Linked DNA regions of Macaca fascicularis. The protein of the gene in region 3 interacts with the protein of the main gene of each other region in a pairwise test. Links are inferred from orthologs where the notes say so. Each region holds a gene or a part of one and is shown on either strand. Other genes may lie near its edges. The genes, in order: SNCA, GPR37 and PRKN.

What was found.
Region 1: the proteins of PRKN (region 3) and SNCA interact in binary tests that used the Homo sapiens proteins (3 or more experiments, as listed by UniProt). The link is inferred for Macaca fascicularis from reciprocal best matches to the Homo sapiens genes PRKN and SNCA.
Region 2: the proteins of PRKN (region 3) and GPR37 interact in a two-hybrid assay, tested with the Homo sapiens proteins (2 studies listed by BioGRID). The link is inferred for Macaca fascicularis from reciprocal best matches to the Homo sapiens genes PRKN and GPR37.

What each region holds. Positions count from the first base shown.
Region 1 is NC_088379.1:95,361,638-95,372,010, forward strand, and holds part of SNCA (alpha-synuclein), read right to left. Parts: intron 9,331-10,373; coding exon 9,289-9,330; intron 3,830-9,288; coding exon 3,687-3,829; intron 1-3,686. UniProt on the Homo sapiens protein: Neuronal protein that plays several roles in synaptic activity such as regulation of synaptic vesicle trafficking and subsequent neurotransmitter release.
Region 2 is NC_088377.1:166,327,373-166,336,402, forward strand, and holds the end of GPR37 (prosaposin receptor GPR37), read right to left. Parts: intron 6,916-9,030; coding exon 6,097-6,915; 3' UTR 5,128-6,096; downstream 1-5,127.
Region 3 is NC_088378.1:8,398,698-8,409,866, forward strand, and holds the start of PRKN (E3 ubiquitin-protein ligase parkin), read left to right. Parts: upstream 1-5,823; 5' UTR 5,824-5,942; coding exon 5,943-5,949; intron 5,950-11,169. Other genes in the region: PACRG (parkin coregulated gene protein), read right to left, coding at 5,217-5,372. UniProt on the Homo sapiens protein: Functions within a multiprotein E3 ubiquitin ligase complex, catalyzing the covalent attachment of ubiquitin moieties onto substrate proteins. Substrates include SYT11 and VDAC1.

The DNA.
Region 1 (10,373 bases), on a different chromosome or scaffold from region 3:
CACCACAGAATAATGCTGATCCAAGTCACTTTCTTTGTACAATATTCTTAGAACAAGCAGATGTTTCTTCCTCAATAGAAGTAGGAAATATAAATTTTCTCTATATAACATCACTGTTGCTTTGCACTTAAAATTTCTGCCAGTGCACTTTTAACCTGTTTTTACTCTGCCAATAAAAGGTATGAACTTCAAGAAATGAATTATATGACTGATAACTTCTTATGTGTACATGAGTAAAATATAGATCAAAAGATCTATTATTCTAATTCTAATTCTATTCTAATTCTAATTCTAAACACAAGAGTTAATATTGTTCTGTAAAACAAATTCTTATAATTCAAGATAACTCATTTGTCCTTTAACTAGTCTTATACTCAGAAATTATTAATAAGGGCAGCTATATTCATATGATCAAATTCACAAAACAGGTATCTTCTTTGATTTACTCTTGATTTATTGGTTGTTCAGAATTACGTAATTTAATTTCCCCATATTTGTGAAGGGAGAGGAAAATTTCCCCCTCATCAACTAGAGGGTGATGGGCCAAATACCCTCAAAGGGCATGAAAGGTTAAAACCGGTGCCATTACTCCCTTTCAGTGTTCCTGATCTTAAAGTACGGCCATTAATCCACTTCTACAAGCTAGACATCTGGTATCCCTAATTGTCACATCCCTCTTCCTCCAAGTTTCTGGCACAGTGTGAGTAAACATTCTTTCTTGAATGATGAATGAGTGTCTCAATGTGGTCATTAATAAGCATTTCAAGCAAAAAGATTTTGCTTATTTCTAGTTGCCAGGGTCATTTTGATCAGAGTTTAAAAAATGAAATAAATTATTTCAAATATCATAATGAACAAATTAAATACTTTCATTGAAACTATCCAGACTTTTTAGCATCCCATAGATGTGGCCACAATTGCAGACGTTTATTAGAGTACTCTCTGAATTATTTTAGAAACTCAGAACTTTATTGCTAAATTAGACTTCAACAATTTTCTAGTAGAGCTTCCTCATTATATGAGAAAGACTTTTAGGAGATCTGCAAAAGGTTATCCAGTCAGGTGGTGTATGAGCAGAGATGAAGACTAGCCATTTTCACTCTCAGTCCAATGTTTATTTCCACAACTATGCTGCAATTTCTAGGTTTTATGACTTCATTTTCATATTAGAAATCAATAAGATACTCTAGTACCTATAAGGGAAATATCTCCAAATGATTAATTTTGTCACATCATTTAGATTTCTGCTTTAAATATTAAAATAAATAGCAGTATTTTTAGATGGGTGGAAAGCAAACCCAGTTTTGTAAAAGATTAAGCACTTTCATGCTTCATTTGCAATTTATATTGTATGCGTTAAATGCAGGTGAATAAAGAAAGGATGGTACATGTTTCCCTGTTGCTTAATATTCTGAAGCAATAAAATTCTCTAGTTAAATCTAGTTGTCCATAACTGAATGTATAAAGACCCAAAGGAAGGTAAGTTTTGAGGAAATGCTTGGGGAAGTGATATAGTGGCTGGAAAAGTACTATTGGTGTCCAGTCTATTCCAAATGACTGTACAATCTTGGACTACCCACTTCCTCTGTTGATTTCAGTTTCCTCATCTGTACAATCAGAAGATTGATCTGAACAGAGGGTCTGTCAGTGGACTTCCCATTAAGCCCTTTGATGTGTGTATGTGAGGACACATTTTTCTGAAGCTAAGAGGGTCCATAGCTTCTATTAGATTGTGAAAAGGGTCTGAGACACAAAACTGGTTAATTGCCTGTGTACTATTTTAATCTGAGGTCCCTCTTAACTTGTGAAATCTTACAGAGCTATAAATAGAATTATAATTTTAGGTGGAAACCAGGAATTAATATAATTATTATCCCTAATAAGATTATTTGAAAAGCATATTTTGTACAAAAGGGTATCACCATGACCAACCATGCATTCAAGCATTAGCTGAAGAACTTCACTAGAAGCCCAGTCAGGATTTGCCATAATTACATCCATTGCACCAGACACTAGACATGTAACTTCATGTAGTAAATCTAAATATATCACAGATATTTTTGTTCTGCCTTTTTATTATCAGTGTTTTAATGGGCTATCAAGGTAAGGCTGCTACTTAGTATTACATGAAGTGGAAACAACCCAGAATAGTTTGCCAGCAAATAAAACTTCTTTCTCACAATTTTGAAGAGATTCATCCAAAATCATTTTGATTTTAACTTTTGGATAACTGAATAGCACTGTTCTTATACTAAGGATATGATTATAAAAGACCCATGAATAAAAGTTGTTCTGCTTACTCACTTATTTCCTTCCTTTCTTCCCTTCTTAATAAACATATGCTAATTGTCTACTCTAAGTTGGAAACTCTCCCAGACACTTGTGAAATATCAGTGAACAAAATAAATATATTTCACTCTCATGGTGCCTACATAATAGAAGGGAGAAATAAAATTTAAAAAATACATTAAAGTAAGCAAATTATTTATTATATTTAAAGGTGAAGAACACTTTGGCAAAGAAAGAAAGAAAAACAAAGGAAGGAAGGAAGGAAGGAAGGAAAGAAGGAAGGAAGGGAAAGAGAAAGAGGAAGGAAGGAAGGAAGGAAGGAAGAAAGAGAAAGAAAGAAAGAAAGAAAGAAAGAAAGAAAGAAAGAAAGGAAGGAAGGAAGGAAGGAAGGAAGGAAGGAAGGAAGGAAGGAAGGAAGAAAGAAAGAAAGAAAGAGAAAGAAAGGAAGGAAGGAAAAGAGAGAAGGAAGAAGGAAGGAAGGAAGGAAAAAAGAAAGAAAGAAAAAGGAAGGAAGAAGGAAGGAAGGAAGGAAGGTAGGAAGGAAGGAGAAAGAAAGAGTAGGGAGACTGAGAATACCAGAGGTGAGAAGAATGGCTCCAATTTTATATAGATTAAGGCAGGCCTCCCCAGTAATGTGTCAGGGCAAGGGTATGCTTGATTTATTCAAGAAATAGCAAGGAGACAGGGAAAAAGCAAAAATCATTTTGCTGTTGTAGTGGTGACATTTGTAAAATTTCATCATTGTTGACACCTCATACCGTATTAGTTTCATATTTAAAATGAAAGTTATAGTATCTTTGGTATAATCTTATTTGTGCCCCATGTTTGTCAAAAAAATTCAGTCAAAATTCTTCTCAGAATTTTAAAATCTACCTCAAAACTATGATCTCTGGTTGGTATATATTTTAAACCTCTTAGTTCTCACAAACATGTATTTGGCAATGAACTGTTATGTAATATGCAAATATGCCATTTAATAAGAGATGATGTCACTATAAAGAAATCAAGTAAAAGAATTTTATTTTGGAAATTAAGAAATTAGGCACAAAGAGATTTGTTATTCCAAGGAAGAGAAATTCCAAGACTTATAGTTAACATGAAAGTCCTCATTCTTTTTGAAATGTCACTGTTCCTTTGACATTTTGCTACATTTTTTATTTCATTAACTTTCTTCTAGAAATTGAAACAATCATGATAATTATAAAATTTGCATGGCATTTATCTGGGTTAATGCCTGAAACAAGCAAGACCAATATAAAGGTAGCACATTTTCACAAGGGGAGGGTCAGGTAGCTGTTCCTCACAGTAAGTGTCCTGCTCCTGCCTCCAGGCCTCACATGAAAATGAACCATAATCTCACCAGCTTATAAATGTAGCACAAAATGTACACACCGTACCTTGCCCAACTGGTCCTTTTTGATGAAGCCAGTGGCTGCTGCAATGTTCCCTGCTCCCTCCACTGTCTTCTGGGCTACTGCTGTCACACCCGTCACCACCGCTCCTCCAACATTTGTCACTTGCTCTTTGGTCTTCTCAGCCACTGGTACAAATCAAGAGCAACAACAGATTAAAGGGTGGTGGAATAACAGTGACTTAAAATCATTCCACTTCCACTAGCCATCGACTTCCATACACCTGTATCTACACATGCCATAGACAACTGAGGGGTCAGAAGAAACAAGCAACCAAGGTGTCCAAGTGAGCGTGGCTCAACCAAACATTGAATCTCGGCTAAGATATTTTTGTTAAAGTCATGCAGTATTAAAAAGTGCTTCAAGTTTAATGATCCAGAATGTAAAGCCATGAGTGATTTGGATTTGTTTTATACTAAGGAAAGCAATTCTTACAGGTGCAGTTATAGTTGAACCAGACTCAACATGAGTATTTCTTTATTTCAATTCAGTGCCAATCCTTTGAGCTCACTCAGCAAGTTCATTTCCACCACACATTCTAAACAACACAATACATACTTGTATTTATTTATTTATTCATTCATTCATTCATTCATTCATTCATTCATTCATTCATTCATTTGAGATAGAGTTTCACTCTTGTTGCCCAGGCTGGAGTGCAATGGCACAATCTCAGCTCACTGCAATCCCCACCTCCTGAGTTCAAGCTATTCTCCTGCCGCAGTCTCCTGAGTAGCTGGGATTACAGGTGCCCATAACCATGCCTGGCTAATTTTTTTTGTATTTTTAGTAGAAACAGGGTTTCACCATGTTGGCCAGGCTGGTCTCGAACTCCTAACCTCAGGTGGTTCACCTGCCTCGGCCTCCCAAAGTGCTGGGACTACAGGCATGACCCACCGCACCCAGCCCATACTTCTTATCTGTGTGTTCAGACACGGTATTATCACATATGTATGAATGACAGCATAAGAAATGGTTTTGAAGGAACTTGGATCTTTTTATAGAACTTCAGGTAGTGAAACATAGGGTTCTTAAAAGCTAACTTGCAGTAATTTTAATAGGAGCAAAGGAGCTGGACAGTATGAAAATGAAGAGGCTATTGAGCACCCTTAAAATTCGTTTTCACAAAACAAAATGTGATACGGTCATTCAGTAGGTTTATTACAATAAGTTAACATTTTTGAGAAGACAGTGTAAACAGTTTGAATTGAGTTTATAGGCAGAAATTTAATTTCATGTCAAAAATTTTCTTGTTCAGTGAAATAAGCCAGAAACAGAAAGGCAAACACAACATAATCTCACTCATGTGGAATCTAAAGAAAAAAAAAAAAAGTTGGTATCATAGAAGCAGAGAGGAGAACAGTGGAGGAGAGTGGAGGATGGGGACACTCATCTAAGGAAATGAAGGCACATTTTCTTGATATGATTTGTACTCCCCAGATAAGCCTCAGTCTGAGAGGAGTTACACCATGTCAGCTCTTTCGTGCTAGTCACATGATTATTGTATAGGTTTCATCTCACCAGTTGAAGAAGCCAATAGTTAAATGGTGTGGACAAAGCAATTCATTTTCAAATAGACTATGTAAGTCACAGAAGCTAAGGGGCCTGTAAGGACAAGAGGCTTTCTCCTTAGTTCAGGCAATGTGGGGAAGCCTGACATAGCCACACAGCCCAAGACCAGAAAGGGTCCACAGTATTGTTGCTCCCTACTTGTCTTTTAGGCTAGAATTTTGTACAACTACCTACCAACTCCGTGCCATTTCTAAGGATATGGCTGATGTCTCCTTAAGAGTAAGAGCTATTTACAATTCAAAGTTCGATTTAAATGCCAGTGAAAAGCTGTACTGAAAATTTTATGTTTTAAAACATTTCTGAAATGTTGATCCTTTAAAAATAGTCAATTATGTGTTTCAAGTTGTCATTTTTTTCGTTTTCAAGGACGAGAATTGAAAATTTTGCTTCAAATGAACATTTTCTTGTTATAAAATCTTGAAGCAAGATTAAAAATAGGTTTTGAATTTTTTACAGATCCAGCCATAAATTTTATAATATCTAGATAACCTTTTATAGATGTATAAATTTTAATCTAGTTTTAATGCAATACACTGCACAGTAAAATGTACTCTGCACATTATTATAATTTCACTCTTTTATTATTATAATAATAAATAAAATGGTTACATGACAAAATAACAGAGTATACAGGTAGCAATCATCGACACATTTAAAAACATTTCTGTAGAACTGGTTTCTCTAGTAGGGTCTCTGCTGACCTTGAACCTCTATTTTTCCCCCGAGGGCCTTCCACACTATTTCTCTACTCACTGACATTCCAAACGAACAGTGACAAAACAAAAGGAAAAGAGACATACTCATATTAGTACATTTTGAGTCTAGCAAATGGTATTTGTTTTTCAGCAACTGAGTTTTTTGAAATCAGGGATTCTACTTTATTTTTCTTTATATTATTTTATAGTAGATAAATAATTTAGAATATACTAAAATGAATTTAGTATCTCTCTCTAATATCTGCATTAATATAAGTAATAGGTTTATATTTGACTTTAACTAAGTTAAAAATAAAAATCCAAAAAGGAAATGTGATACCAACTTTTAGAATAGATATAGCAAAATCTAATCTTTGACATTAAACAAAATTATAAAATTAAGAATATCTAGTTTTGAATTGTTATACAAATGATAGATTTAAAGAAAATAAATTTAAAACAATTTACTAAGGAAATTTAGATCATAACATGTTGAAAATTAGTTTTGTTCATTATGATGTAATAAATTTACAAGAATCAAAACCTTCAGAAAATCTCCAGTGTCAGAAATTTCTTTATACTACACTTGCATGAAAAATAAGTAACTTTATATCATAGTTTATTTTTAAAGTACCTTAAAAACATATCATTCAGTAAGTTTAATTAAATACATTTTCATATATGATGCATTAAGTTGATAACTGAAATAATTTCCCGAGATCAAAGAGCTAGGATTTAAGTTGGTGGATTTTTCATTGATATTATCTAACTAGGATAATTTGTTTTCCTTGAACTTTGTAGGTAGAAAGCTCCCAGCCCAAGTTTACTGAAGTCTATATTTCTCCCCCGCCCCCTTGAAAAGAAATCTAATGGGATGAATTTGGGGGAAATTGTTTATTTAATATTAGAAGTTAATATTAGGTACTATGTAATAGTTTCTTGTTTCCCTGCATTAAGACTTGTAACAAGAACAATTAACAATTAGTTAGCACTTAATATGTACCCATAGCAAACATTTTACATCAGGTAAAATATGCAAATTATTCTCTCTTTAACCACTGAAGTAATTGTCTTATTTCTTCTCATAATTAGACTTAAGAACTTTATATTAAATAACCCTATTCAAAAAATTAATTCATTTATCTGATGTGGGAGAGGAATGATTATGATAGCAGCTGATTTATCCCAATGTGTTTCTCATAGCCATACTAGTTATGACAGCATTTTTGGTACTTCACTACTGCCAGGGTGGTTCATGGGTGTAATGGTTGTAAATATTGCCCATGCTGAAATCACCATGTCGTTACTGCTTAGCAACATTTCCCATAGTTTTCTGTAGAACACTAGTTTCATTCAACCCTAATAACTAATGGAGAAAGGTTTCAATAATCAAAAAGTTTGAATAACCTTGATTTTAACTATGTAATGCAAATTTCTTTACTGTAGGACATCTCAGATTCCTTAATATACCAAAGAGAAAATAAAATATGCAGAATCTCCCAACATTGTACAATGTTGGAAACTTAGGATTGTGGGCCACTGTCCTTTAGAAAACATTTTATAAAATGTTGTTTAATTGTACAAACTTCAGTCTCTCTCTCTCTCTCATACACACAGAGAGAGAGAGAGAGAGAGAGAGAGAGAGAGAGAGAGAAAGAGAGAGAGAGAGAGAGAGAGAGAGAGAGAGATGTGTTTACATTTTGGCATTCTGGAGAAGACTGAAAAAATGCAGTCCATCTCCAGTCTCCATTAGATCATTAGGTGACAGTAGTAGTTGGGTTTTTAAAATTTTTACCACTGACTCCAAAACTTGGTACATGGCCTTCTGCTTTCTAAACCTCATGGGTTCTTCCTCAACTACTAAATGGAACACCATTCATCTAGACTGACCCTCTTCAGATAGTAGAGTCTCCACCTGTCTGCTATCTAGTTATTATTATAATAATGCTTCACAATATCATATTTATAGGAGGTCCCTAGAAGGCAACATAGTCCATTTACTTATCTAGTTCTCTGTTGGATTGCAACAGAGCCCATTAAAGGTGCATAATTAACTTCTAACAGAACTAGTTTCAAAGGAGTCTGCTTTATTTTTACACTCCCATTTTTAAATCAAAAGTATTCATTTAAAAAATATTTTTCTACGCTAGTTGTAAAAATGTTGCACAAGAAAGTTCACTGTAAAGCAAGAAGTAACACTTATAAATATATATATTGTTTGCTTTTTGTTTTCCAGATGCTTTGTGTACACTAATTCAATGAATTATTTTATAGACGAGGAAGCTAAATCATACAGAGGTGAAGACTCTTGCAAAAAAAACCACACAGCTGGTAAAGAGTAAGTAACAAGTTGAACCAAGAAGAACTGACTCCTGTGTTTTTAGTCCTAACCACAGCACTGTATTAAGATTCCCATATCATTTTTCTCCTTTCCATTTTAGAAGTCATTGATAGGAACATTTTGTTTTTATAGGCACTATTGTGTTTAATGCTATAATTTAATTTTCATATAAATTATATTTCTGATTATATCTTTTGTTTCACCACACCTGCCAGGAAATGTGGAGTACTTACAACAGGAAACTTAATTACAGCAAGTCTATGGGCTTTTAATTTGTAAATTTTGGTTCCCTTTTGATTTTTCTATTTCTGGCACTCTCATCCTCATCTTCCTCATCATCTGATGATGATTATCATCATTTTCATCATTTTTGATATTTCTTGATTGTAGACCTAATTGACTTATTCAAATTTTTGGTAAATTTAGGCCAAATGAATTATATAATCAGAAATATGATAATTGCACAATAATATCAGTACAAATAGCTATACCATAACAATACAAATATAAATACAATAAACAATTTACTGACTGTCCAAGGGTGTTTCCTGAAACGTACTCTGAATTATCAAAGAAATATTATAATCAATGTAACTTAAGGTCAAAATATTTTATCGTAATCAACAGAAATTTTACTCTATTTAAAAAAAAATAATGGCTATTTCACATTGTATTTTTGTCAGCAGTTTGTCAATACATTTTTGGTCAGAATATTTGAATGCCCAATTACTATAAATTAAACATAGCTTATCAATTCAAAGCCATCATTATTCTTGGCAAGTAACTATATTTTTTATTTATTTATAATCGATATTTACCTATTTAAAAATACTCTATAAATAATTCAGTTTGAATAAGACTGATATGCTCTTAGAATGCTCAGTGATTGTTTTATAGTGTCATTCGGAATGCTGAATACTGGGCCACACTAATCACTAGATACTTCATCGTCTTTGGATCTAAGCCCAGTGGAGCTTACCTGTTGCCACACCGTGCACCACTCCCTCCTTGGTTTTGGAGCCTACAAAAACGAACACATTCAAGACATAAGTCTCAAACTAGCCTTAAATTGCTGATTAGCTAGTTTTCAACACAACTAATTTAAAAACTCAGTCTTCAGAAGTCTATAGATTATTACATCTTCAGGGAAAAAAAAAAAAAAAATATATATATATATATATCCTAAATCTAAAAGAAGGAACTTCAGTAACCACCACAATAAATAGAAGAAAGCCAAGCTAACAGGAGGTCATCTCCAATTAAGATTTTAGCACAAAATAATAACTTTATCCCCTTTGTTCCCACATCACATACGAATTTACAGAGGAGAAAAAAGAATGAGATTACACTGGGGCTTGGTGGGAAGATAATTTTGAAATCAGAGCTGTAGAAGCTTTTTTCTTTTCTCTCTCTCTCTTTCTTTCTTTTTTTTTTTTTTTTAAGACGGAGTCTCGCCCTGTCGCCCAGGCTGGAGTGCAGTGGCCGGATCTCGGCTCACTGCAAGCTCTGCCTCCCGGGTTCACGCCATTCTCCTGCCTCAGCCTCCCGAGTAGCTGGGACTACAGGCGCCCACCACCACACCCCGCTAATTTTTTTGTATTTCTTTAGTAGAGACGGGGGTTTCACCATGTTAGCCAGGATGGTCTCGATCTCCCGACCTTGTGATCTGCCCGCTTCGGCCTCCCAAAGTGCTGGGATTACAGGCTTGAGCCACTCTGCCCAGCCAGAAGCTTTAAAAATACAGCACTAGAGACAAATGAGTCAACCCATGAAGCAAAAGCGAAGAGGGATGGAGAGTAGGCTTTAACATGTGCTGAACACCCATTATGTAAAAAGCACTTTACATATATCTTATTTAATCTTCACAACATCCATTGAATGTAGTTATATTTTGCCCATTTTAAATATCTGATGAAATTAAAAATCTGAGTTAAGTAATTTATGTAACATTACACATGTAATAATAGGCTATAAGCACATTCAAACTAGGGTTTCTACACAGGATCAGAATTTCTTCCAAACCTGGACCATTACTAAACTTGTATACAAATAAATATTATGTGT
Region 2 (9,030 bases), on a different chromosome or scaffold from region 3:
TTGGCCTTGGACATCAGCACTCCATATTTTCAGGCCTTTGGATTCTGGACTTACAGCAATGGTCCTCCTCCACTCCCCATGGAGGTTCTCAGGCCTTCAGACTCAGGCTGAATTACACTACCAACTTCTCTGGTTTTTCAGCCTGCAGACAGCATAATATGGGACTTCTTATCCTCCATAATCGTGCAACCTAATTTCCATAATAAATCCCCTACTACGTGCTTATACATGTGCTATTGGTTTTGCACTTCTGAAGGACCCTAACATATCTTACAACTTTTCTTTTCTGCAGGGTTGATAGTAGTGTTCCCTCTTTCATTCCTGATTTTGAAAATTTGTGTCTTCTCTATTTTCCTTGTAAAAGTCTAGTAAAACATTTGCCAATTTTGTTCATCTTAAGAAGCAACATTAATTTTATTTTTTTTCTCCTGTCTTATATTTTATGATGTTTTCTCTAATCTTTATTACTTTCTTTCTTAGCTTTGCTTTGGATTTAGTTTCCTCATCATTTTCTAGTTTCTTAAGGTATAATCTTACTTTATTGCTTTGAAAATTTTCTTCATGCACAGAGAGGTGCTTAATGTCTAAGTGCTACGTAATTGCTAATTGATTCTGGAAACATCCTTACACACATACCCAGAAATAATGTTTTACCTGCTAGATGAATGTCAGGTATTCCTTGACCCAGGCAAGTTGACACTCAAAATTATCTATTACGTAAGAGAATGTTATTAATGACTTTATTCTAATACATTAGATAACTTAGATGAAATTGGCAAATTCGTATAAAAGCACAAATTACCAAAACCAACTCATGAAAAAATTGAAGATGCAAGTAATACCTACAAGGGGTAATAAAATTGAATTCATAATTTGAAATCTTTCTATAAATAAAATCCCCAACTGAAATGATTTTACTCATAAATACTACTAACTATTTAAGAAGAAATAATAGCAATCCTTCAAAAATTCTTTCAGAAAATCAAGAAAGGACCGTTTCTCAACTCACTCTATGAGGCCAGTGACACTAAGACACCAGAGCCAGAGAAAGACCTCACAAGTAAAAAACAAGTAAATAAACTACAGACTAATATCTATCAAAGCAGTCAGGAAAGAAAGAGCAAATAAATCACTGACCCCCAAATCATTTTCTCTCCAACTTTGGCTTTTGAGGGATCCCCAACTAAGACAATTGGTGATAATCCAAATTAGCAATTAAAAAAGGCAGGAGGAAAATGGGCAGGGAAAGCCCTTCTATAAGGGAAACTCCATAATGAATATTATTGGGAATAATTTGGGAAATTTGAAAATGAACTATCCATTAGGGAATAATACTGTTTCATGTTTAATTTATTGGCCCTGATGATGATATTGTGTTAAGTAGGAAAATATTCTTGTTCTTAAGAGGTAGCATGCTGAAGTGTTTATGGTGAAAACATCAATAATGCCTGTAACCTATAACTTTTTCAAATGGTGAGAAAAAAATTGGAGAAAATAATAAACAAGTGTGAAAACATAGTAAATGGTGGCTTACTTTAGGTAAATAGTAAACATGCATGCATTGTTCTTGTCTTTCAACTTCTCTATTGGTTAGCCTCTTTAAAAAAAATAAAATTGAGTAGAGAAGGGCAAAAACCACAATGAGATACCACTGCATGCATATTACAGTGGTTAAAACTTAAAAAAAAAGAAAACTGGCAATACCAAGGACTATTGACAAGGACTATTGACAATATAGTTTGCGGGTGGGAATGCAAAATGGTATAGCAACTTTAGCAAACAGTTGGCAGTTTCTTATAAAGTTACAAAATATACTTACGATATCACCTAAAATTCTCACTCCTAGCTGTTTACCAAACAAGCATGAACATTTGTATTCACATAAATATCTATATGTGGACATTTCTAGTGGCTTTATTAATAATCACCAAGTTCAAAACAATGCAAATGTCCCTCAACTGAGAAAGAAGTGCATAAACACACAGTGCTACATTCATACAATGGAATACTGTTCAGCAATAGAAAGAGACTAACTACTGATACACACAACATGGATGAACATCCAATGTACTCTGCTACTGAAAGAATCCAGATGGAAATGCTACGTACGATACAATTCCATTTATATGACATTCTATAACAATAAAAAAAATGGAATAAAGTTGGCTACAAAGGGGGATGGGAAGATTTTCTGAAATAATGAGACTGTTTTATACTTTGTAGTGGTTACACAACTGTGCACGCTCAGGACTGTGTGCTAACAGGAGTGAATTTACGGTGTATTAACTATATGGTAATATTAAAATAAATGAAATTGTTGGTTTGAAAATAATCAGATCACTTCATCTAAAACCCTCCAGTGGCGTGTTACTTGGAATAAAAAGCAGTCATTACAATAGTTTACATGGCCTCCCTTTAGCTCTCTGATCTCATCCGCTACTTCTCTTCCTCTTCCTTCTTTCCCAGCTTCAGTAGCTGCTTTACATTCCTGAAACCTATCAGACATATTCCTACCTCAGAACCTGCTTTTTCCCCCAGTTGCTACAAGACTTGATTGCTCTTTTCAAGTCTTAATTGAATGTCATATTAGCAATAAGGTCTTCTTCATAACCTCACCTTACCCTGTTACTCCTTTCCTCTGTGGTAATTTCCACTACCAAAAATACTATGTATTCTAAAAACTATATACTATGCATTCTCCTTATTTATAGTGTCTATCTGTCTCAACAAGAGAGGGCAAAGCTTCTTGGTGATTAGTTCACAGCTATATCACATGCACCTACAATGGTGCTTAACATATAATAGTGTTCATTCAATAATTGTTGAATAAATTAGCTGAGATATAATGAAAGAGCTGTTACTTAAAATGCCCTGCACTCAGTATCACTTGCTACTTTATATAACACACTAAAATCTATCTCACCATAATTCTTGAAGAAATGGATCTTTTATTCTAATTTTACTTTTATGAGAAATAAGGAACTGATGAGGAAAAAAAAGACATAGGGATATAGTTTTTAAAATACGTATCAGCATTTTCTTAGATTTCAGTAAATTACTTACATCTATAAACTGGAACAATAAGGATTTGATCCTTCCTCTGTGAAGCTCTTCTTCCTACCTTCTTCCCTCTCAACCACTAATCCCTCTGAGCACCACTTCACCTTTATCTTCTCACCATCACTCCATCTTTCTTACTGCTTGAAGTCATACATTCAAAGGCTTCAAAATTGCGAATCAAATAAATGTTAAATTGAGTTAATTATAATATCCAGTTATAGATATAGACACAGATTTTGAAAATATTTTCATTGACTACCCTGAAACCACAAAAGTGTTCCTGTTAAGTAACCAAAATACCATTCCTAGCATTTTCTGATTAATCAAAATTTTACTGAACTTAATCTTAGCTGTGAGTTTCTTTTTGTTGTTGTTGTTGTTTAATGAGGAGCGGAAGACACTGGATTAGGATCTAGACTGGAGAAATGTTGAACAGAAATGATTAACAATTTTTTTAAAGTATGTTATAGAAATTGGTTTTTGTGAAAAACGCAAGACTATGAGAAAACTTTGAAATCACTTTATACTTGGGACAATTTGTTTTGAGTTATTAAAGTTTCCACTTTGACAGAGGTAGGATTCAATAAGAAAGTACATGTTGCAACTACAAAAAGTTGAAAGGTAAGTATAAATGAAAAAAGAAATTTAAGTTCCCGCTGCCTCCATTGTGGTTCAATCTCTTATAATAGCTTCCTAGTTGCTTTTTCATGTTCAGACTGTCCCCTACCAGCCTATTTAAACTGTTTGCAAGTTAATCTTCCTATGCAGAGTTGCGATACTATTTCTCCATACTCAAAAACCTTAAAAGCAAAGCCCCATTTCCCGAAGCACCAACATCTAAACATCTTTCAAAACATGGCCCTTTTACTAGAGGCCTTAGTGCATATTTTCATTAATATTTTCCGCAAGGTTTCTATGCACGCGTAGCACAGAAGTCAAACTGGGCTGTTTATTCTTCAATCACTCCCAGTGATTTCTTCCTCTATTCCTTCATAAGTTACCTTTCTCCTCCTGAGGTGTCTACTCCTCACACAATCTTTCATCAATCAGCTCCTTCTAAAAGCTCACCCATCCACTTATCTCATAAAGCCTTTCACGCTCTCTTTTAATCCGACAAGTGTTCCCTCTGCTCCGAACTATCACAGAACTTCACACCTTCCTGAGGCACCTAACAAGCCCCAGCTTATATCATAGTTGTCTATGTTTTTATTTTATTCCTTCCCATCCATGTCATCCCTACCTGATTTTGTAAGGTCTGAGGCTGTGACCTACTTACCTTTCGTTACTCAGGTAATAGGATGGAATCTTTTCTACATGACATGCTCTATTGTTCCTTGATTTATAAAAGTGACTGACAAGAGAGAGACTATGGAATCACAACTGCTGACCTGCTCAGCAACCAAAACCTAACTCAGATGTCCTCTTGAGAAATTTTCCAAAGATGTATTACAGGGATCTATAAGAAGACAAGGGTGCCTTGTTTTAATTCTCCTGCAGATCCCACAGGATACACACAATGGAGGGGGAAATCCCTTTGAAAAGTATTGGACGGGGAAAAAGGAGATAGCCTGAACATTCCCATTTAGTTAACTCGAGTTTCACCTGCACCAATCTCTTTAATGATTTTTAAATAACATCACGTTATAATTTGGAAAAAGGAATACTGACTTACTTGTGCTGAGTAGAACAGAAATCAACAAGCAGAAAATACGTTTTCCCAGCAAGAAAACTGGCTTCCCCTAAAATAAGATTTTTCTGAAGACAAAAGCATTCAACTACACATCTCTTCTCTGGTAGCTTTTAAATATGACTGTGTCACTAGGTCATGGCCTCTGCCATCTGAGTTAGACATGTTCCCACACAGCAAGCATCCTACACAATTGTTGCACTTCAAACTCCCGAAGAGGCAAAAGAGGGGATTCAAATATTCCCATTGGAGGAGGTTAGGTTTTTATTCAGAGTTTATGAAGTATCAAGTTAAAGGTAGTATTTGAATGTTCTAATAAAAATATATATTTTATTATTCCACTCCTATACTTTCATTGCACTTAAAGAAATTAAGTTGTATAGATTTCATCAAGTTTATTTTTCAAAAGGAGAAAAATTAGAATTCAGAGTGCTATACGTAGGATTCACAAAGCTTCAAAGGTCAGTGTTCAGAGGCAATCAGATGACAACTGCATTTTAAAACTCTTGATTCTGCCCAGAATTCCTCAAGGGAAAACCTGTAGCTCTATGTGCTAGTTCAAAGGCAAATTTTTTAAAAAATAAACTTTCTTCCTACTCTGCTATTTATTCATATTTTATAAGTATTCAGAAGTAACTTGACATCTATACCTGAATATTAAAAATACAGCTTTGTTTTAACATACAACATAGTTTTATGAATCATGCATATAAAATACTGCTATTAGAAAAACTTCTTTATGACATAATGATTACCTGCCTTAAAAGAAAATAGGTTATAAAACAGTAAGGCCAGTTTTAAATTGTGCATGGAACCAGTAATTGTATCTTTAAGGCAATTAGAAGATTTATTGAATATTGGTTAAAAGTAGATTGACAATGACATTAAAGAATAAAGTGTAATTTATTTGGTGCTACTTTGTGAATGTTTCCAAGTACAAATCATCTCACAATACCTTATACAACATACTTTCAATCACAACTCAAATATAAAATAACCTACAAAATCACATGGCTATAATCAATATACAATAATTGTATTTTTAAAAGAAGAAAAAACGTTAGCAATTTTAAGTTAAGTTGCAGTAACTTTTTTCAAATAAAATATTAGCACCATACCAGATAAAATGATCTAAAACTATTGGCCTTCTCATTCTTCTTAAATAACTAAATAGAAACTTTTTTTCAAAGCACAAATATTAATTTGCAAAATCAGTTCTACAGTAGTTAATATTTCTTTCTTTATTGTTTCTTTTTTGCATTTTTCCCTGTAAGGAAAAATATGAATTAAAAACTTTCACGGGATATGAAAATCAAACAAATAAATCTGACCCAACCAAGTACCGTCCTTCAGCAATGAGTTCCGACAGAAGCAAAAGTGGACATTTCACGGCGTATGGTACTGAAAGGCGAGAGTTCGAGTTCTGTGGTGTACTCGTTGTCATTGTCATCACTGGTCACCGTTGAAGACTTCTGAATGCATTCCTCACAGCAACAGCAGCAGCACTCCATGAAGGCCCGACTGAAGGGTTTGCAGAGACAGAAAAGGAGGACTGGGGTGACACAGGACTTAAAGAACAAAAGGAACTGGCTGATGATATTTAGGAGGTCCATTGTCTGCTGCGAAACCCCTGTAGCCATGTAGGCAGTAACAATGTTGCAGATATTTTCAGGAATAATGCAAAATCCATATAAAATGGTCAGTGCCACTACCGTACAGTTCATCTGGCTCTCTAGTTGAATCTGCCGCTTATTCCCTCGGGTACAGGCTTTCTCTGCTTTGCGGATTTTCCTCGCAGTCACTAGAGAGCAGGTGATGGTGAAAAGTGTGGGCAAACAAAAGTAACAGCCAAAATACCACCAGAGTCTCGCACTGTCGTAGGTGAGGGCTAGAACATAGATGGTGTCCGGTAAATCAGGAGAGATCTTAATAATGCACCTTTCTGCTGGAGCTCGGCCACTAAACCCCAAATCCTCCTTGCTCAGCTGGCGGAGAACAACTTCTGGAAGTGCTAACAGTAGAGCTCCCACCCATATGACAGCCAGTTTGGCAGTTGTTGAGGAACAGTTTTCGATCATTTCATAGTACATCTGTACGTTGGTGGCAGCACGGAAACGGTCTATGCACAGAGCACATAAGGTGAAAGTGGTGACTCCCAGAGAAGCGACCTGTGGGGGAACAGAGAAGACATTTATTCCCAGTGTCCCCTGAAAGATCAAAGCACTAGGGAATAAATGCAGACTGGCAAAACCGTAAAAAAAAAAAAAAAAAAAAAAAAAAAAAAAAAAAAGATAAATAAATAAAAATAAGAGAGAGAGAACAGTTTTCCAGAATGAGGCATGGGTAACTGGGCTCAGGACATCAGCTGAATCATTGTAAGCATAAAAATAGAAAACAAACTGTAGTGGGTTGAGGGTCATAGAGTGCAAAACATTTAGGACTGGAAGGATCCATAAAGATCAGCTAGTCCAATCCCTTTTTATTATAGATAAGAACCCAGATACACTAAAAATCTTATTCACCACGAAAGTGTCTGCCACTAGGAGAGCTAGATAAGGAGTCAGGGTAGTGCAGAAATTCCCATTTTCATTGCTGACCAGGATTCTCATGTTTTCCAGTGTGAGGGTCAGTAGTGTGCCTTACACACAGCAAATACCAAAGAGTTTATTGTCTCCGATGGACTAAATGATGAGAGGGCTCCTCCAATTTTTCCTAAATGCAAAATAAAGTATGACAGTATTATCTTCAAAGGCATACACTTACAGAAAACAAGAAAGGGAAATTCGCCAGAGGCCAAAATCAAAAAGGAAACAAATTTCAAACAGGCCAGAGACTCCTCCCTGTTCATGCTGCCTGTTTACCTTAGGGGCACCTGCCCGTCCTGGTGAGGGCTTCAAGTTAGTTTTAGCTAGAAAAATGGGGCAAGATGCCCAGGTACACAGGGGCAGGAAACAGAGCTGGGGCCAATGTGGGTGGGGATTGGGTCAAAGACTCCCTGTGAATTTGGAACTCCTCAAATGCTGACATCTTAAGAGGTGTAAGGAGATAATGAAGAAATCTGCCTATATGACAGGATTTGGGTCTGGATGAACTGGGGGGAAAGGAGGCAAAAAATGGCAAATTCTAACCAGGAGCCTGAACTTACATGGTGTTAGGATCAGAATTTCCAGGATCTATGTGGCTCAGAAAACCCAAAATACAATTTAAAATAATCCCAGGCACCTGGTAAAAATCAAACAAATCCTCTCTGGAAGAATGTACTTTAAAACCAGACCTCAAAAAATCCTATAGTTAAAATTCAAGGGACACAGGTTCACAAAATCAAAAGTCACAATATGCAAGAGACAATTAGCCACTATGAATTTATATGCCAGAGATACAGAATCAGACATAAAAAATATATTTATCATAAAATAGGTATGTATATCAAATTTAAAGAAATAGGAGATACTTCAGAAAATCAAAGAAAATAGAACCTGTAAAAATACAGGAAAATATGCAGAAAGTAGCCAAAAAGAATGTCTAGATATCTCAAACACAGGAAAATTTTGGAGCAGAAAACTCTTTGACAATAACCAAATGAAAAACTGTCTTCAAAAAGGCACTGTTCTTGTAAGCATATGGTCCAGACATCTAAAAAAGTCAACATTTAAAGGTTAAGAACCAAAAATATGTACCTATTTTTTTTCACATGGAGGCTTTCCAGGAATATAAACACATGTTCTTAATGTAAGCATGCTATCATTTCATTTACTTATAAAACATGTATTAAGCATTGTACATGTACTCAAATGGGGCAAACAGATACATATCCAACACAAGCATCCATTTATTGATATCAACTCCATGCCGAGCACTATGCTTGGTGTCGAGAAAATAGAAAGCTACAAGAAGCAGTGACTTCCCTCAAGCACATCATAGTCAACCAAGATGGGGACGATGGTTCTCAAAGTTACAACATGAACACAGCAATCACCTGGCAATATTAAAGCCACTTCAATATTTGGGGGAAAATTGAAGTAATTTAATATATAATAAGTGTAGTCATTATCTATGCATTCAAACAAGAACAAGGAGTAAAAGGTAAAATGTCAATAAGGTTTCAGATAAAATATGAGACTAAAAGAAAACTCCCTGGGTGGATGGAATGCTTTGGTCTACACCCCAGACAACTCGAATATATGCATTTGCTCTCCCCTGCCTGTTGGTAGGAAGGTTTAAGCAGCATGATATAGGCCATTCCCTGGCAAAGGGGCAGGGGAAATGTAAGTATAATGTTAACA
Region 3 (11,169 bases):
GGCAGCCACCTGAGGGGTTGAGGTGAAGAATGCCATGATTCGGCCTTCTCGAGTTTTAAAGGGAGCTTGTGGGCTCCGCAATTAGAGGGGATGGTTTAAAAAAATTCAGAATAGAGACAAATAACAATTATAACAAGAAAGTGGGAGAATATGAGATAAGAAGAAAGGGTAGAATTGCTTTCCTTCATTCATCAAATATTTATTGAATACACTGTTATGTTCTGGTTAAGATTAAAAAATGACTTAGACATGGATACTGCCCTCACAGAGAATTTACATAAGGAGATAAAACATGGGCAGAAATGACCATAATATAAAGTAGAACACAATGAATAAAGGATAACTTTCTATGTGGGTGACAGGAAGGGAGAACGAAAGAAGTCTTCTTAAAGCAGCTGGCATTTTGCTGGCCATAAAAATATAAGCTTCTTGACAGCATGTGTTCTGTCTTTTGCTGACTGCTAAATTCCTAGCATTTAAAACAGTGCTTTGCACATAGTCTATGATCAATAGATATGTGTTACCTGACGAATGAATTTGTATATGCAGATATACAAGAATGAATTTGTATATGCAGATATGTAGGGAGAAGGGTGTTCGAGCAAAGGGAACAACATAAACAGAAACACAAAAATAAAGAATCCGATTTACTTCCTGGGTTCAGATTGACTGAAGTAAACGAGAACAGTGGGAGATGAAATTTAAAAACGTAGAATGGGATTAGATCACAGAAGATCTTGCTGGTCCTGGGGAAGTATCATGCCTTTTTTCTATAAGAATTGGGAAGCTCCAAAAGCTCTGAATAGTGATAGGAGCAGAACATTGTACTGGAAAGATTAGTGTAATTGTACCGATAATTGATTGAGGGAGTTAACCAATTGATGGGTGGATGATATTGTACAAACCTAGACAAAAGGTGATGAGGGCCCCCATTAGTTTATCGCCACTTGGTCCCTTCATCATTAGTACTTCTCTACCAGAGACATCTGTTTATTTGTATTGTAATTATTTTACTTGTCTCTCTCCTTTTCTTCACCAATAATGTAGCACATTTAGCACTGGAGTTAGACACTTCTAATTATCCCCCAATATCCCTTGGCTACAGTAATAAAACATTGCAAGTTTGAGCTGGACATAGAGCTACCAGTTAAAGACTACATGTCGCAGCCTCTCTTGCAACTAGCTGTGGCCATAAGACTAGGTTTTGGCAGGATTTGAGCAGGAGTGAGGATTGCTGTTTCTGGGACATGCCTTCATAATGAAGCTGTTTGCTCTTCAGTTCTTCTTGCCTCATTCTTGCAGATTGCTCCATACCCATTTTTCTCTCCCCTACCTGAAGTAGGTGTTGGAGACGATGCCCTTTTGGAACTACATAGCTTCCTTCATCCCTTTCCTGAGGAGAGAGGTATGTGGGCTTGGGTGTTACTTCATGGGTCAAGCTTTCACAGGATTTTGCAAAACGGGAAAATGTAGGTGTATTACTAGGTTCTGGCCAGTTGGATGACAATGAAAGTGGGGTGCTGTGTCCGGGTCATGCCTATAATGGGAAGCTCTCTGCTTCCACTTTCCTCCTTCTTGAGGGCAGGTATTTGACCCTAGTGGTCTCAAGCCCACCTTGTCTCAGGTGTCATTTTACAGGATACAAAGAACAAACATGTTCCTATGTCCCTGCACCCGCCTCACGGGGAAATACTGCCCAACCTCCTGGGATTACCTACAAACTTGAACTTCTATTATGAGAGAAACAACTTCCATTTTAATTAAGCTATTGTTATTTGGTCTCTGTTACAGCAGCCAAATTAATATCTTAATATAGAATGTATAAATATTGATGATTACCACTACATGTTAAATAAGAACATGATTGGACGCACTATACATGTAAAGTACAGGTTGAACTATCCCTTATCTGAAATGCTTCGGACCAGAAGTGTTTTGGATTGGTTTTTGTTTTTTGTTCAAATTTGGAATACAGTCGTCCCTCAGTCTCCATGAGGAATTACTTCCAGGACCTCCTGCAGATACCAAAATCTGCTGATGCTCAAGTCCCTGATATAACATGGCATAGTATTTGTATATAACCTACACATTTCCACCCGTATACTTTAAATCATGTCTATATTACTTATAGTATCTAAAACAACATAAACTCTATATAAATAGCTGCTATGCTCTATTGTTTAACAGGGAATAATGACTAAAAAAAAAAAAAGTCTGTACATGTTCAATACAGATAAAATTTTTGTCCTAAACATTTCAATCCAAGGTTAGTTGAATCCACGGAGGCAGAATCTGTACAAAGAGCTGAGTATATCTGTATTATACACTGGTGGTCATGCCAATTCTGAAAATCTGAAATCCAAAATGCTTGAAAGAGAGTTTTCTTTGAGTGTAATGTCAGCACTCAAAAAGTTTTGTATTTTGGACCATTTCAGGTTTCAGACTTTTGGAATAGGAATACTCAACCTTTAATATTAAAAAAATATGTATTTATTCCATTCCCCTAAACTTTGAGCATAAAGCATCTATAGTCTATTGAGAAGGAAAGCTGTAATAGAAAGCTTAGGCTAAACTCAACTTCCCTGTCACCATAAACCTGGGTCAATTTTCTAATTTGCTTCATGATAAGCATGTTCAGCACAGAAAGCATCTGACAAGATGAAGACAACAAAATGCTTGGTTAATAGTTTCTGGTCATAGGCTCTATCGCAACCCAAATAAAGCCTTTAAAAGGAAAATGAACTTTGAAATCTTCAAATTGTGTATCTCTTACATCTCTTTATAGGCAAGCACTATAAAAATGTGAATTTGAATATTATTTGATGGCAGGGCTTTTGTGATGCTTGTTTTCTTATAGAATGCAACAAAAATTTCATGGAAACAAAGTCTACTTTCTATTGAAGAACAATACTTGACATTGAGATTTTAAAAATTTTGCCATTTACATTTATCATTATTTTTCAATAATTTTGCGCTCTCATATCCAGACTGACTGTTTAAATAAGCATTTCTGCCTGCACAGCCCATTTGATGAAACATATTTATGATCAAGTTTATGTACTTGTATCACTATTGCACTCAAAGAAATATCAGGAGTCTCTGTGTAACTCCTTAGGATATATAAAATTCTTCATGTTTTAAGTGGAAGAGCATTGGAATGGTGACTTATCTAACTGGAAAAGTGGTTTGGAGGGTATTGGCCTTTGAGCATGAGGTCGCAATTAAGAAAAGCTGGAAATTGTCATACATATCCTGAATCGAAATACACCTTCAGAAAGAGATGAGGATATTTTGATCTTATAATGCTGAAAAGTCTATACTGCTAAAGATAAAAATGGTGAAATGTAAATATTGGTTATGAAATGGAAAATTTTTATTTCTTGTACCACTGAAGTTATTTTGTATAAACAGTATTGTCTAGCTTTCTTTTATCAAGATTTGAATGTTGTTATTTTGGTTTACCTTGGAGTACTAAGGGCAGGGACTTTGCTTTGCTGATCCCAAATCCCCAGAACTGTGCTTAACAAGTATTGGGTATTAAAAAAAGAGAGAGAGAGAGTTGTTGACTGAATAAGTAGATGAATGGATAAATAATCTTTGCATTTAAGAATTATGATTTCCAATGGCAAGAGAAGTATTGCTAGCACAAGATTTTCCTTTAGAATATAAAAAGATAAGATAATGTATCACAAATAAGTTCTTTATAAAGAAGCCTGCTTCATAATCAATGTGGTTCTTTTAAAGTCATGTAGGCATATTTACTACATCTGGCAATATAGAAACATTAGATTTTGCAGAACTATCTCTTTAGGCGTAGGATTATATTAAAGAATTAACATGATACAAGAATTATGAACACAAGTTTAGGAAATAACAGAAAAGAACCCTGACCAGTAAAAAAAAAAAATTGTGATATTCAATTATAACATTAAAAAACACCAAAATTGTAAATATTGTGTAGAAGAAAACTAAATTATTAACTTGAATGGTTATGGTATTGCTGATAAATGCATCATCTTGACTCCTAGGAGAACCAATTTATGTGAAATTCCATGAAAAAGAATTAGTTACAACAAGCAGAATTTTAGTCTATTTCCAAGAATTTTAACTACTGTAAATCACCTGACACACTTCTCAATAATTAGGATATCATTTTGCATAACCACATGGGAACCTGGCCTAGAGGTCTATAGGTAATCTGTTTCATTCATGTATTTTAAGTATGTCATTTAGGAATAAGTTATTAGGTTTACAACATATAAGCAAAGGAAATAATGTGACACTGGAAAACAACATTACTCATTTAACATAATGAATTGCCACATGTAATAACTCAGATCTTCCCAGGGTGTAAATTATATGAATTTGAAAGCTGCATTTATTATTTAATGCCTCATTCCCAGACAGGTGCTTACTCAGTAGCAAAATCTGCCTTAGCATACCAAGTGTAAAGCTATGTAACAAATAGGAAGGTTTAAAAAATAGATACTATCATGCAGACAGCTAAAATATTTGTATGTATTTTTAATCTTTTTTTCCTCTAATGATACTTAGAATATTTTATTTTTGTTACTACAAATAATGCAGATGAAATATGAATTGTATTAGTAGCAGAGACACATGAGCTAAAGCTTGTATTGTTTAAAGCACATCATCTTAAAAGGCCTGTCAGGAAACAGTGTTCATATTAAGTGGGCTTTCAGTACTCTAACAAGATGACATCATTTTCTAAGAGACAAGTGTTGTTAGAGTAACTGCTAGGATATTCCAAAATTTCTCATTATAGATTATTTAATGAGTTTATGTTCCCAGTTGTATATCAGCTCATGTTAAATTTTGCAAGAGTTTATGATTTCTAAGAGCTCATCTTCTGTAAGGCCCTTTGCTGAGTGGGGTTAGTTAGCAATCAGTAATTAAAGGGGATCTTTTTACCTCGTGTAAATAGCGTAAGAGTAATTTTGGGCGGTTTAGAAACGATGAGTTATCAGGAAGGTGCTTATCAATGGGCAGAGTATATCATTTGCCCAGGATTCTAACAACCTAGCCTGCCCCCCACACACTGTGGGGGACCGTCTGCTACTTGCCAAGTAATTGCCATTTTTGGCAAAGACCACCCAGGACATGGGCTCAGAGTCCATCCTAGGGCTGGCCAACCTCTGTAAATCTCGTGTCCCCTGATACGGAGCGAGTGCATTCAATTCAGGAAGATCACTTACGACTGAGTTTTTCATCATGGCTTTGACTGTGAAGCCCTCAGAAACCAGGGAGTGAGGCTGGTGCACCGGGAGCGGCTGTTGTGCCAGCAGCTTGGTCCTCTTCGGCATCTTGTCTGGGCATTTGTTTAAGCTCAGGGTCTCTTTTTCTGCCACCATCTTCCTAGAAAATGTCTTGTTCTCATAAAAAGTGTAGTAAAAGAATCAGTGGGTTTTACGGATGTGAGCAGGAGGTCGGGAAAAAAATGTCAAAAGGCGCGTTAATGGTAGAAATTCAACCCCTCGTAGTGCCCAGGTTGATCCAGATGTTTGGCAGCTCCTAGGTGAAGGGAGTTTAGGGGAGGGGTGGGGCGGGAAGAGGGCAGGACCGTAGCTAGAGCTGCAACAAGCTTCCAAAGGTAAGCCTCCCGGTTGCTAAGCGACTGGTCAACACTGCGGGCGCATAGCTCCGCCCCTCGGTGACGTACGATTGCTGGGCCTGAAGCCGGAAAGGGAGGCGGCGGTGAGCTGGAGGGCAGGAGGCGTGAGGAGAAACTACGCATTAAAACTACGACTCCCAGCAGGCCCTGGGCCGCGTACCCTCCGCGCGTGCGCATTCCTAGGGCCCGGCGCCGGGGCGGGGAGCCCTGGAAGATTTAACCCAGGAGAGCCGCTGGTGGGAGGCGCTGGCTGGCGCCGGTGCGCGCGTAGGCCCTTTCCTGGCCCGCAGCCGCCACCTGCCCAGTGACCATGATAGGTACGTGGGTACCTGCCAGGTACAGCCTCATCTGCGCCGCCCTGCGCCCCGGTGTGGCCTCGGCCGACCTGGACCCCAGGTGCCAACTGTCAGTGACGGGGCCAAAGTGCCCATGCCGTACCCGGCCCGCACCGCCGGGCTCTCCAGCTCAGCGACGCGGGCCCGGGGCCCCAGTGTGTGCGTTCCAAGCCCTCGCCCGCCCGCCCCTGCTCTGAGCGTTCCCGTGAAGACCGCCTCACCGGGGACGCCAGGCGGCCCCGCACCCCCGGTCCTCGCTCATGGTCCCCCGGACCGTGTAGGGTCCCGAAGCCTTCGCCCCGCCGCCGCCCCTCGCCCTCGAGGCCCTGGCCAGTTGTCGTGCGGTTCAGGACCCATCGAGACCCACTCTTTGTGGGGCTCTTTCAGGAAACCCCAGCAAAGCATTAAACTCTAATGGAAGGCACCTGGTGAGGGTGGCTGGGCGCCACAGAAACTCCTCCAGATGAATCTAAACTTCTTGCTCCCTCGGATGTTTCCTTTTAAACTTCTCGTTGGAGGGCTGAGGTGAAAGAAAAATTGAGAGTAAATAATAGCCAAGATTACATCTACTGCCTTTTGCAATATAACTTTTTTTTTTTTTTTTTTTTTTGGTAAAACACAATGACCGAGGTGCAATTTTGTGAACAAAACTTAGTGGCATCAGAGTTGTTCATGAACACTTGATGTGTAAGATGAGCAAAGGTGCAAAGGTCCTCTTCCAGGGTTGTTGAACCAAAAACTACTTTAGGGGCTGTCCCTAAAAATGAATGGAAATGCACCATATGTTTAGAAGCCAGTGCTATATGGGGTTTCATTATTGTGGAAGTTTCTCCAGGTTATGTATGGAGGGTTTAGTGAGCTTGTTTAGGGCTAATTCCTGAGGAGCGTCCCTTACAAAACACTTTTGATTGCAGTAAGTACGTTCGAAGTCAGATGTGGTCTGTCCAGAAGTAAGGTGAGAGGTGGATTCATAAAATATATGATCTTTATGCACTGAAAACACGTACTACATCTGTTTTTATTTATGAAGTTATTGTTAAAATGTAAACATTCTGCCCATCAGTGGGAGAATCAAGCCAGCTAACTGGCATTGTCTTTGTCTCTGTGGTAAAACAAGAATGTTGTTCAGCCTTCCCTTTCTAGCATGGTCTGACTTTTGGTGAATGACTTGAAAGTTAACCAAATTATGAAAAAGTTATAATTTTTTGAGTTTTCTTGAGCTCTTTTTAGGTGACATTTACGTAAGATTCACTTGTAAGCACAAGTCTGAACTGAATCAGAAAACCAAGTAGAAGAGATTTTCCAAAATCCGTGCTATCAGTAGTCTACAGGAAGAAAATAGCCTATACCTTATTTTGAAGACAGTTAAATACATTTTATTTTAATTTAACTTAATCTAGTGCACAGATAATTTTAAGAGAAACAAATTTATTGTAAAGCTATATGAAGACAGGCACTTAAGATCTGGGATTGGAGGCGTAAGCCACCACGCCCAGCCTCATTAGCCACATTTCAGTAAACATCTGAATGGCCAGTTTGAGATTTGGGTGTGGTGAACAGTGCTAAAGGTAGGTGAAAGTGAAAACCATTAAAAGGAAGCCTTGGAGTGATGGATTTTGTGTTTTTGTGACAAAAATTCAGAGCGAGGAAAGACATTATAGATTTTATCCAGTGATCAGTTGGAGATCAAAATGTAAATAGTATGTATCTGGGATTTTCTGTTAAAGGTAAGAGTGCTTCTCAAAGCTTGCTCCTTTCAGGCCTATGCTTTCTCTGTTACACTCACCTTGTTGCGGGATTCAGGAGGACGAGAGAGACCTCGGGTTGAAACAGGAGAATCTTGATCGAGTGCACTCAGGCCCAGCTGACTCACATGCAATAGACTGGGCCCAGAATAAAGACAGTACTTGACTTTTATACACACTTCACAAAAGGAGGTGGGCTAGCTTGAAGCAAACTTACGGTGGTGGCAAAGCAGGGATACAGAGGCAGGACAAAGGCAGGACTGCACATGGCCATCGCCAAGCAACCCAGATGTTCGTTATCTAGGTTTCCCTGGGCACAGGCTTATCCTATAACCTTCACTATGGTGCCCAGGCAGCTGTAGTTCAGGCCTACTCAGGCTTCTCATGACCTTCGTTGTGCTTCTTAGATAAAACAGAATACTTGAAATCACTAGTTACAGAGAACAAGAGTCTATAAACTGATTCCATAAAACAAAGGAAAATTTGTTTTTCTTCTCCCTGTGTTGAGGGAGTGCTGGGAGAGTCTCCAGAGCACATTCGATAATATTAGCAAGACTCTTCCTGGATCTGGGCTGTGCTGTTGCTGCCTCTGGGACAAGTTAGCCTAAAACAGGAAAACTTATTTCTTTTTCTTTTTAATTTTATTTTTCTTTAATTTCCCGCCCCAACCTTAATGCAAATAATATTCTGCCAGTTGGAGAAACGTAAAGATGGGTTTCCTGGTAGAAGAGGAGTAAACAAGACTGACTGCGACCTAACTGCTAGTGGAATGTGCCTTCCTTTTACTTTCTCAAAACCAAAGATTCCCTTCTTGGGATGAGGACTGTTTCATAAGTCCTTACATTTCCCACCTGGATTGCGATTGATATGTTGAATGCCCTGACCTGGGCAGCTATGGAAACGTAATTTAATTGAAGTCGGTTAAAAATTGTGCCTTTGTGGAAGGTGTGGAGAAGGACTTCAAGATAATATAAAGCAGAATAGAAAAGCTTAAAAGAATTCAACGTAGAAAAGTGTAATTTTTGGTATCTCTATTAAAAATATATTTTGACTTTGTAAAAAATGATCAGTTTTTTGTATTTAAAATGGAATGTTAGTGGTGATAATTTGTGGTATGTTCTAAATGTTCTGTAGAACTGGATTTAGGTATTTGAGTAACAGCAGATATTAGAGTGCTTGGTTATATATACACCAATGTTGTCAGTATTGAAATACACATTCAGTGTCTTATACTTTTAAGAAGATTTTTGATTGACAAAAACCATTCATTGGAACATAGTCTCTTCTATACCTTGTTTCACTTAGCATCTCTTTGAGAATTTACATATCTGCATGTACAGATTCACTCCACAGCAGTTCCTGCCTAGTGTTTTATAGGATACACTAATGAAAATATTTACCAACAAATAAGCACTCATCAGGTTTACAGACGACTGTTATCAGAAATGTTTGTGGACATATCTTTTTACTTGCACATGTAAGCATATATGTAAAAGAGAAATCGTATGACAATTTGAGTTAAAGAGTTTGCAGATTTAAAATATTCCTAGGTATTTCAAAATTTTTCTAAAATAAGTTGCCCTATTTTACAAAGCTATCTAAAGCCTCCACGAATACAACATGGTAGTAAAGAGCTGCCCTGCCCCTCTGGCCTGAAAATTACCAAAAGACGTCCTTCCCGAGACTGACTCAGCTTTCACTAGCAGAACACCTCCTAGATCTCCAGTCCCCACCTCTCTCTCACCCTAGGTGTAGTGCCTTTCAGTGTACAAGCTGCACAACTGTCCTTGGTGGCCCTGCCCTCCCTTTCAGTGTGTATAAGGGTGCCCATTTCCTCCCATGTGCCATCAAAGATTTTTTATTTTTGCCCTCTTGACAGATGAAAAACAGCATCTTTTAACTTTGCAAATTAATTTAGAAGAAAACTTCCCATTTTCATCTTATAATGCGTTAGTTTCACAAAAGCAGATGCGGTGATTTCAGCACCTGCTGTGTACCCTTAACTGCTCTAGGTGCCAGGGAAACGAGGGAACAGAGCAGAAAAAGTCCCTTGCCATCAGGAATGTGCATTCTGACTTCACCATTTGCCCATATATCTGCATGTTTGTTTTCAAGCGTGTGTGCAGTGAATTTTAAAGTCTCAATTTATATTTCTAGTTGAATATTCTGTGTACTACTCTTTGCCCTGCCATTTTAATAAGTTGATGAAAAGCAGCTCTATGCCTAAGTACCCCAAAGCTTCTGTTTATGATGAGGTAAAATTGTGTCAAAAATAGGCTCTAATAAAGTTTTGCATAGAAGATTTTATGTAATTATATAATAGTTTTTCCTTGAGTCGGTCCAAAAGCTCTAAAATGACCCTTTGTCCTTTACAGTTTTGGCCCTATTTCTGAGGATATTTTTGAAGTCTGCATTTTTTGAAACCTCATAGTTTCATTGCCTGAAAATGATACAATGAAAGTACTTTGTATTAAGATATGTAAATCCATTCCTACCTCCAAAGCTTTTTTGAAAGATGCAGGAAAAAAAAAAGAGTTCTTACTTCGAAATGCTTCATATTCCTGAGAGCAGTTTTAATGCAAAAAACTTTATTCTGTTAGCTTTTAGTTCTTTGATCAATGAAAATTGCTTCTTACCTACTGTTTCTTCAGCCTTTAATTGTAGCCCAGTGCTTATTCAATGTTTCTGTTTTCATTTGCATTTAATGAGCTCATTTTAAATGTTTCTTTGTAGTAATCTGAATGGTTTCTCTCCCTAAATTTTGTAACATTAAAGAAAGAGACTCATGTGACAGTTGGCTGATTTATGTTACAGCTTCCCTCCCTGGCTGATTTACTTCATCCTGTAGGATAGAATCTTGGTTCAAAGGAAATACAGTAGCAGGATTCTTTCCCCCAGTAATTTCCTAATTACCTAGGACTCTAACAGATTCACTCAAATGTCTGTTTTTCACCAAATAGAAACCTTTTTTCCTTGGATGAATAGGTATTTAAATTTATGATTATTCAGTGTCATTTCTTTATACCATATGTATTAGGTGGTGCTGGGTAGGGGTGGGTACACACAGGTTGTATATATCTATATATTGCCTATGGGGAAGGCACATACAAATGACCATTTCTTCCCAATGAGTTTATGGCCTAGTTGGGCTGATTAGGCTTACATTAGTGGTATAGATTCCACCTTCACCACTGCAGCAGAAGAGTAATTAGAAAGATGTATGTATGTATCAGCACACACATATGTGCCTGCAACATGTGATTTTTTATGTTTCTTTTGCTCATGTGATTCTCTTCGAATGCCCTTTCTTTCTGTTGTATGTCTGAAAACTACTGTTCATTATTTAAGATCCAATTCCAATGGCACCAACTTCATATGAAATTTTATGTGTCACCTTCTCACCCTCTTTTCAGTGTGGGGCAATTAACACCTCCTTTACAGTCAGCCAAGATATTAG